Linked DNA regions of Mus musculus. The protein of the gene in region 1 purifies or fractionates together with the protein of each later gene. This does not show direct contact. Links are inferred from orthologs where the notes say so. Each region holds a gene or a part of one and is shown in the gene's direction. Other genes may lie near its edges.

What was found.
Region 2: the proteins of Ilk (region 1) and Cct4 purify together in Homo sapiens (affinity purification with mass spectrometry; 4 studies listed by BioGRID and IntAct, with this or other methods). This does not show direct contact. The link is inferred for Mus musculus from reciprocal best matches to the Homo sapiens genes ILK and CCT4.

The regions. Positions count from the first base shown.
Region 1 is NC_000073.6:105,735,670-105,739,420, forward strand, and holds the start of Ilk (integrin-linked protein kinase), read left to right. Parts: upstream 1-920; 5' UTR 921-1,047; intron 1,048-1,055; exon of another isoform or gene 1,056-1,137; intron 1,138-1,395; coding exon of another isoform or gene 1,396-1,479; coding exon 1,480-1,568; coding exon of another isoform or gene 1,569-1,632; exon of another isoform or gene 1,633-1,716; intron 1,717-3,751. Other genes in the region: Rrp8 (ribosomal RNA-processing protein 8), read right to left, coding at 1,396-1,632. UniProt on the Homo sapiens protein: Scaffold protein which mediates protein-protein interactions during a range of cellular events including focal adhesion assembly, cell adhesion and cell migration.
Region 2 is NC_000077.6:22,997,045-23,000,695, forward strand, and holds part of Cct4 (T-complex protein 1 subunit delta), read left to right. Parts: coding exon 1-110; intron 111-558; coding exon 559-691; intron 692-1,988; coding exon 1,989-2,128; intron 2,129-3,651. UniProt on the Homo sapiens protein: Component of the chaperonin-containing T-complex (TRiC), a molecular chaperone complex that assists the folding of actin, tubulin and other proteins upon ATP hydrolysis.

The DNA.
Region 1 (3,751 bases):
TGGACTACAGAAATGAGCAGAACATCCTGGGCTAACTGAAGGTCAGGAACACCCCAAGGGGATACTGAAACCCTCATATCTGATGAGGTTCAAAGGAAAAGGCCTGCTTTCCGTGAAGCTGATTTGGGGTTCAAGTCCTGCTGCTTGTCCTCAGCTAGACCCTTACCTTGAGCCTCTTTTGAATAGTAATTCTGATAACCTCCCAGTCACTTGCCTTTACTCTAATATACTTTCTACACTGCCACTAAAAATCCTCTAAAAATCCTTTCAAGACTACGGATTCAGCTCAGTAATAAATGCTTATCTACCACGCTGAAGCCCTGGAATCGATCCTCAGTATATAAAGTGATGCCAGGTGAGAGAAAACTTGGAGAAGCCACTCCACTGCTAAAACAACTCTACTGATTTCTACCCTTAGTGTACAAAAAACTTAAACTTTTCAAGCTCTGCGCTCCACGCTCCACGCTCCGAATCCCGCATTCCTATTTGGACTATCCGGATCTTCAGATCATAACTAACTCCCTCACCACCCCGATCCACGATAGCATTCAGGCTCTCCCTCTAACCAATACGACCCCCGGAGGGTAGGCTTCACCTCCTTCAAACAGCCCAGTGCAGGGCCGCTCACCTTGACTGGCGGGGCAGTCGCCGGCCTAACCTGTGCTGTCGCGGCCCCTAGGCCCACGATGGCTGGGGCCGCCTCCACCCATTCGGGCTCTTCGAACATACCACCCGTAGCCCGCAGGGCCGGAGGAGCCTACGCTCTGGCCCACGTGCAGCGCGCGTCAGGGAATCCTAGGGCTGGAGTCGGACCAAACCGGGCCGGAAGCCACCGAGTGAAATTCTGTGGTAGCTAGAGCGGCCTTCGCGGAGCAGAGCACCATAGAGCGTAGCCGCTGGCGAGCTAGAGAGGCAGTAGGAGGTCGGAAGGGAGGGACCGCGGCCCGCGCTGGCCCGAGCTGGCCGGGGCGGGCCGGGGCGGGGCCGGGCGGCGGGCGCGGCCGGACGGGAGTTCCCCCGGAGAAGGCGCCTGCGGCCCGAGTCCCGGTGAGTGTGGGTAGCTCCGCGCCCTACCCCACGCTGTCTTGCAAACCCGTCTCTGCGATCTCTGCAGCAGTTCTGAGCCGGGGCCGCCGGGCAAGGACCCCTGTCCCCTCCCCCGGGTGTTTGCAGCTTGGGTCCCTTCCCCCACCCCCAAGCCTTGCTCGAGGGCCGGGGCTCAGAGCCGGCTGACACCAACTCGGGAAACTAGCAAAGTCTACCCTACACCCCCAGACCCTCCTGCTCCTCGAGCCAAGGGGTCGTCCGCTGCCCGAAGCCCTTCATAGACAACCACTGTCCCTCTCGCGACGCTCCCCATCCCAGCACTGACACCTCTGTCCTGAGGGAACTCACACAGAGAGTCATTCTCTTGTCTCTGTTCTCCCTCAGTCCCCCGAGGCTTCCCCAGTCCCGGGGTCTCTGTGCCGGGACGCTGCTATGGACGACATTTTCACTCAGTGCCGGGAGGGCAACGCGGTGGCGGTGCGCTTGTGGCTGGACAACACAGAGAACGACCTCAATCAGGGGTGAGCTGAAGCGTTGGCGAGTGAGACGGCTACAAGTCCTCTCTCCGCTACTCGGGGTGCTCATGTCTGGCGGGGGCGGCTGACTTTGCTATCCAGTGTAAGGAGTAGTAGTAGTAAGCAAAGCCTGTTGATGGAGGAACGTCTACACAGAGGAAGCTGTCGGAGTTGGGTTTGTTTTTTTTTTTTTTTTTTTTAAACTAAGTTTCACAATCCGGTTCCCGGGAACTTTGCAGCCTCTATGAACTCATGTCAGAGGCAGACCTGAGTGCCAGAAAATTGTCTGGAATTACATGTAGCTGGAGGATGAGTTTCTGCGCCCTAGAGCGTTGGGTAGAAGTGGGAAAGGATATTAGAGGTCTAAAGTTCTGAAGCTTATGTAGTGATGAGAGTACCCATTTGTCAGGCGTCACCCTGGACGCAATTGCCTTAAAGTGATGTTTTGGATACAAGAATTGAGACAGGGTTGGGGTGAGAGCCCTAAAATCATAAGGATGAAGTAATTGAGTTGGTATGGGATGTGAAGGGGTTGTCAAAGATGACCTGGGGTTTAAAAGGAGGTTTGGGTACTTGGATACTTGGCAGTTGCTGAGGTTCCATTATGGACTGGCCACAGTTTTGGTGACACTACAGTGACTTGGAAACGCTTGGCAGGTTGTTAGTCATGCAGATTTAAAGTTCAGGAGGTCGGATTGGGAGACCAAGATGCCACAAATAGCATTTAAATGGTATCTGAAGACTCTATAATGTGGAATGTAGTACCTTAGAAGAGTAGAAAATAAAGGCAGAGGTTGAGAAGCCTGGCTGACAGGGAACAACCATCAGAATAAGAAATAAGAAATGGATTAAGATTAGAGAATGGATGTTTTAATAAAAGAAGAGTGGTTAATTGTAGGCTACTGAGAAGTTAAAGAGCATGGATGAGCATTTAAAAAGTCTCATTTCACTTACATTTAGGATGAATTTGATCTTTTGAATGCTATTGCAGAACAGTAACAGGAAAGTGCATTACAGTGGGTTCCTTCACATAAGGAACCACTTGTGGTTGCTGCTAGAGTCTTTGAATCAGACATAATCTACACGCTAGAGATGGCAGGCTTCTCAGGGAGAAAAGTGAATGGGAGGTGAGGAAACAGATACTATGAACACTTTCTGAAATACTGGCTGATAACAGAAGCAACAAGTGCAGTGTTGAGAGTTTAGTTCGTAGTTTTTGGTTTGCTTTTGGAGACAGGGTGTCATGTAATTCAGAATGGCCTCCAGCTCTCCATCCTACTGCCTCAATCTCCTGAGTGCTGGGATTCCCATTTGTTGCCACTGTATCTGACTATAAGAGTGTATTTTTTTTTTTTTTTTTTTTTTAGGTTGGGAAGGATCATCTTTGGTCCTAGGCTAGGTTTCACTAGCTTTCATTAGGCTGTATGTTATTTCTCTGCTAGATTCAAGGTTATTTGTTTCATTTTTTCCCACATAACTTGTGTGCTCTGGTAAAAACTAAGCTGTCCTGTTTTGTTGGTAAGAAAATAGAAGTTTAGGCTGTTGTCCAGTAGGAGTGGCATCTTGGAAGACTCCTTGCTGTCAAAAGGTGAAGGATATCATTAGGGAAACCAGAAAGCTATGGTGGCTTGAGGGGACAGGGCGTGGGTGCTGGAGGTGGTTAACTCCCTGAAAGCTTTCTTGAGATAGAGATCCAGGCCCTGAGGTGACCGTCCTCAAGCTTGGGCTTGCTTGGAGGCCACAGACTTCTGGAAGTTGTTCAGTCAGAACATGTGAAATCTGGGAGACAAGAGTGATAGCAAGGGATAGACTTATATCCGGGAAAAGCCTTTGCTGAGTTTAACAGATGAGGGCAAACTAGAGGAACAATTATTTAAAGCTACATACTTCCTTCAGCTGTTGGGGGATTCTAGTTGACCAAGCCAGGATCAGCTCAAGGCCCCTCCTCCAGTCCCCTCACAGGAAGTGACCACAGCACTAAAGTATCTGGAGGCTGCAGGCCTAGACCACAGACCGCCCCCTGTTCCGCCCCTCAGATCTGCATCCCTGGGCTGGAGGGAATTTCCTTTTATGGCTTCAGGCTGTCAGTTTGACCCAGCCCATCCAGTTGTTTTGTTTGTACACTTCTCTTTATAAAATATATGTCCTTAGGGGATGAAAATACAAATCAGGTAACGGTTTTTATTCAA
Region 2 (3,651 bases), on another chromosome or scaffold:
TATTCAAGTCTACTCTCTCCAATGAGTGTCAATGCGGTGATGAAAGTGATTGACCCAGCCACAGCTACCAGTGTAGATCTTCGAGATATTAAAATAGTTAAGAAGCTTGGGTAAGCGTCTCTGATTTCAATTTCAGTTTTGCCAAAACCAGATAACTTTGAAGAACAACTAGGGGTGGCTTATACATTTAGTGCCAGCAATTGATTGGCTGAGGTGGGAGGCTAGCTATGAGTTCAAGGCCAGCCTGGAATAAATAGTGAGTTCCATGACAGGCTGAGCTAGAGTGAGGTTCTGTCTCCACAAAACCCTTTAAAAACAAAGATGTTCTTAGTCCGATTACCTTTCTGCCTGGGCCAGTGGATGTAACATAAGTGAAAATAACTCTGAAAGTGAACATTAGAAATACTTGCTGACTTAAACTTTATTATATATGGTATCCTCAAGGGTTTGCCTGTATTTCCTTATGGTAGGATGGAAGTATATCCAAGAGGTCCCAGAATGGGTTCTGAGAATGAGTAAGACCAAAGCATTTCCTCTGCTCTGATTATTTTTTCCTAGTGGGACAATAGATGACTGTGAGCTGGTGGAAGGCCTCGTTCTCACACAGAAAGTAGCAAATTCTGGCATAACAAGAGTTGAAAAGGCTAAGATTGGGCTTATTCAGTTTTGCTTATCTGCTCCTAAAACAGATGTAAGTAAAATCCAAGCTGGTTTCCTACTTATTAACTTTCTAGTAAGATCTGTTTTTTTAAGATGAAAATAGAAAATGCTGGTATTAGTGATGTCTTTAAAATGTAGATTCAAAACAATAAAATTGAGACAAAATCAGAAATTGTTGCTACTACAAGTAATAAGGTGGAGACTGATTATAGGCATTTGCATAAAATAGAAAGGTGTGTGTGTGTGTGTGTGTGTGTGTGTGTGTGTGTGTGTGTTGTACTCATTCCTTGAGTTTGCAGATTGTGTCTAGCTTCCTGAGATATTACCTGCTGGAGCCCACAAAGATTGTGTTTGTGCAAGTGGAGCCTTAGACTAACTTGATAGCCAAACTATAAAAATTTTTTTTATGAAAGATATTACCATATTAGTATGATTCTCTAAAAAGTGTGTTGGTACCTCAGATTTGTTTTTACTATATTCTGCCAACATATAGGTGTGTTCAGTATTTTGTTCAAAAAAATAGCCATATGAAAATTGATCTTTAATTTTTGTGCATTATATATGATGACAAGCCACAGAGTAAAAAGGATGGAATTAAAATTATTTCTGTAATACATATGGTATGTAGAACAACTTCATTTTGGGGAATTTGGATTTTTCAGTTACCAAAAATGCACATGCAAAAAGTTTCAGAAGCAGTAGAGCCTCGTGTGGTCATATGTATCTATATTCTGGTACTCAAAGGATGGTGAATTCAAGGCCAGCTTGAGCTGTGAGCTACATAGTGAGGTCTTGTCTTTCAAACATACAAAATATCAGTAATGGGTGTGACTGAAAAGAATCAGCTGGGGCTGGAGAGATAACTCAGTGGTTAGACTGCTCTTTCAGAAGTCCTGAGTTAAACTCCCAACAACCACATAGTGGCTCACAACCATCTGTAATGGGATAGGATACCCTCTCCTAGTATGTGAAGATAACTGCAGTGTACTCATACATAAAATAAATCTTATATTAAAAAAGAAAAATAAGCTTTAGCCAGGCGGTACTGACAAATGCCTGGCACTTTAGAGGCAGAGGCAGGTAGATCTCCTGAATTCAAGGCCAACCTTGTGTTTGGAGCAAGTTAAGTTCCAGGACAGCTTTGACTATACCAAGAAACCCTGACTTTTAAAAAAAAATACAAAAACAACTGAAATAAAACATAATAGAATGGTTTATTTTAGACCCTTTTCTGTGCATACCTATATAACTGGTAGGTGTGGGCTGGTCTTTCACTTAACATTAAAATCTCTTGCTGAAAATAATTACTGTGTTCTTGTTCCCATCAGATGGATAATCAAATAGTAGTATCTGACTATGCCCAGATGGATCGAGTGCTTCGAGAGGAGAGAGCCTATATTTTAAATTTGGTGAAGCAAATTAAGAAAACAGGATGTAATGTCCTTCTCATACAGAAGTCTATCCTGAGGTCTGTTCTATTTACTTTCTTCTCCCTGGATTTATAATTGAGTTGGGGATCCTACAAGCAACTTTTAAATAATGTGTATGTGCATTGCATGTGTACAGGATCTGGATCCTTGGAGATCAGAAGGAGGTGTTGGATGCCCCGAACTGGAGTTTCTAAGCAGCTGTGAGCTGCTCTGTTAGGAAACTAGGAACTGAACCCAAGCCAAGCCCTCTGCAAGAGTAGCAAGCACTGCTTAACTACTGAGCCATCTTTGCCTCTACCCAGCAGTTCTTAAACACTTAGTCTCTAAAGCACAGGAAATCTAAAGTGCATATTTTGGTGCATCATATTTTCATTTATAAATACAGGACTATTTTCTCTTAAACATGGCCAGTAGGGTTTTTTTAGATCAAGGCTGTAAGAAAATGAAGGTCTAACATAGTTGTTCTTGCCTGCAGTCCTAGTGCTCAGAAGGCTGAGGCTGAAAGGTTACAAGTCGGGCCAGTCTGGGAGAGAGTGAGATGAAAGTGAAAAGACGAACGGGCTTAGTTTTTGAGGTCACTTGTTGCTCAGGGACCCAAGCTTGCCTCCTAGCATCCACATGGTGGCTCACAAACATGTAATGCCAGTTTCAGGGAATGACACACTCTTCTGAACTCCAGGGACAACAGGCATACTCATGGTTCATATGATTGAGTACAGGCAAAACACTTATTTTTAAAAGGAAAAAAAATGAAAACCACATTTTTTAAAAAGCTGTTTAAAACTGTTTGAGGCGAGGGATATAGCTTGTTACTGCTTGCCTACAAGCCTTAGGTTTGATCTCCAGCATGACTTAAACTGGGTGCTGTGTCACATGCCTTTAGTTTTAGTGCTTGAGGCAGGAGGATGGAGTCAATGGCCAGCTACCAGGTAAAATTCTAGGCTATTGTGGGGTGTGTGAAATTGTCTCAAAACGGTGAAAAAACCACTGCTGAACTAATTAACTAAAAAATAGTATTTGTGGGCACTGCATAGACAAGAGAAGTCTCAAATTTGAACTCATCTTTTTCTTTTTCCATTTCTGGGGTGTTTTTTGTTTATTTTTAAATAGATAGACATATTCCCATTTACTTCCCTAATAAGCTATGCCAGAAGGTATAGAGAGTCCTTTGTAAGCAAGTAAGAGGCTGCTCTAGTCTCTAGTCATTTAGTGGCTCTGCCCTTGAGTAAATTGGTTTTTGCTTAGCTTTGATCAGGACGGTAATGTCTGTCTTGCTGGATCACAGGGTTGCTGTTACTAGGATTGGTTTGCTCGTTTGTGAGAATTGTGCTTCTGAATAATGTAAGCGGTCACCTAGCAAAATGTGCTCACTTCTTAAGAATCACAGCCCACTTGTCATGTACAGTTTTGTGTCATAGTAATTTTTCTAGTAAAATTAGAAACCTTCAGAAGAATTTTTGAACTTCTACTGGGTATAATAATGTCCCAAGCCTTTGATCCAGCACTTAGGAAGCAGAGGCAGGCAGATTTCTCAGTTCTAGACAACTAAAGCTACATAGGA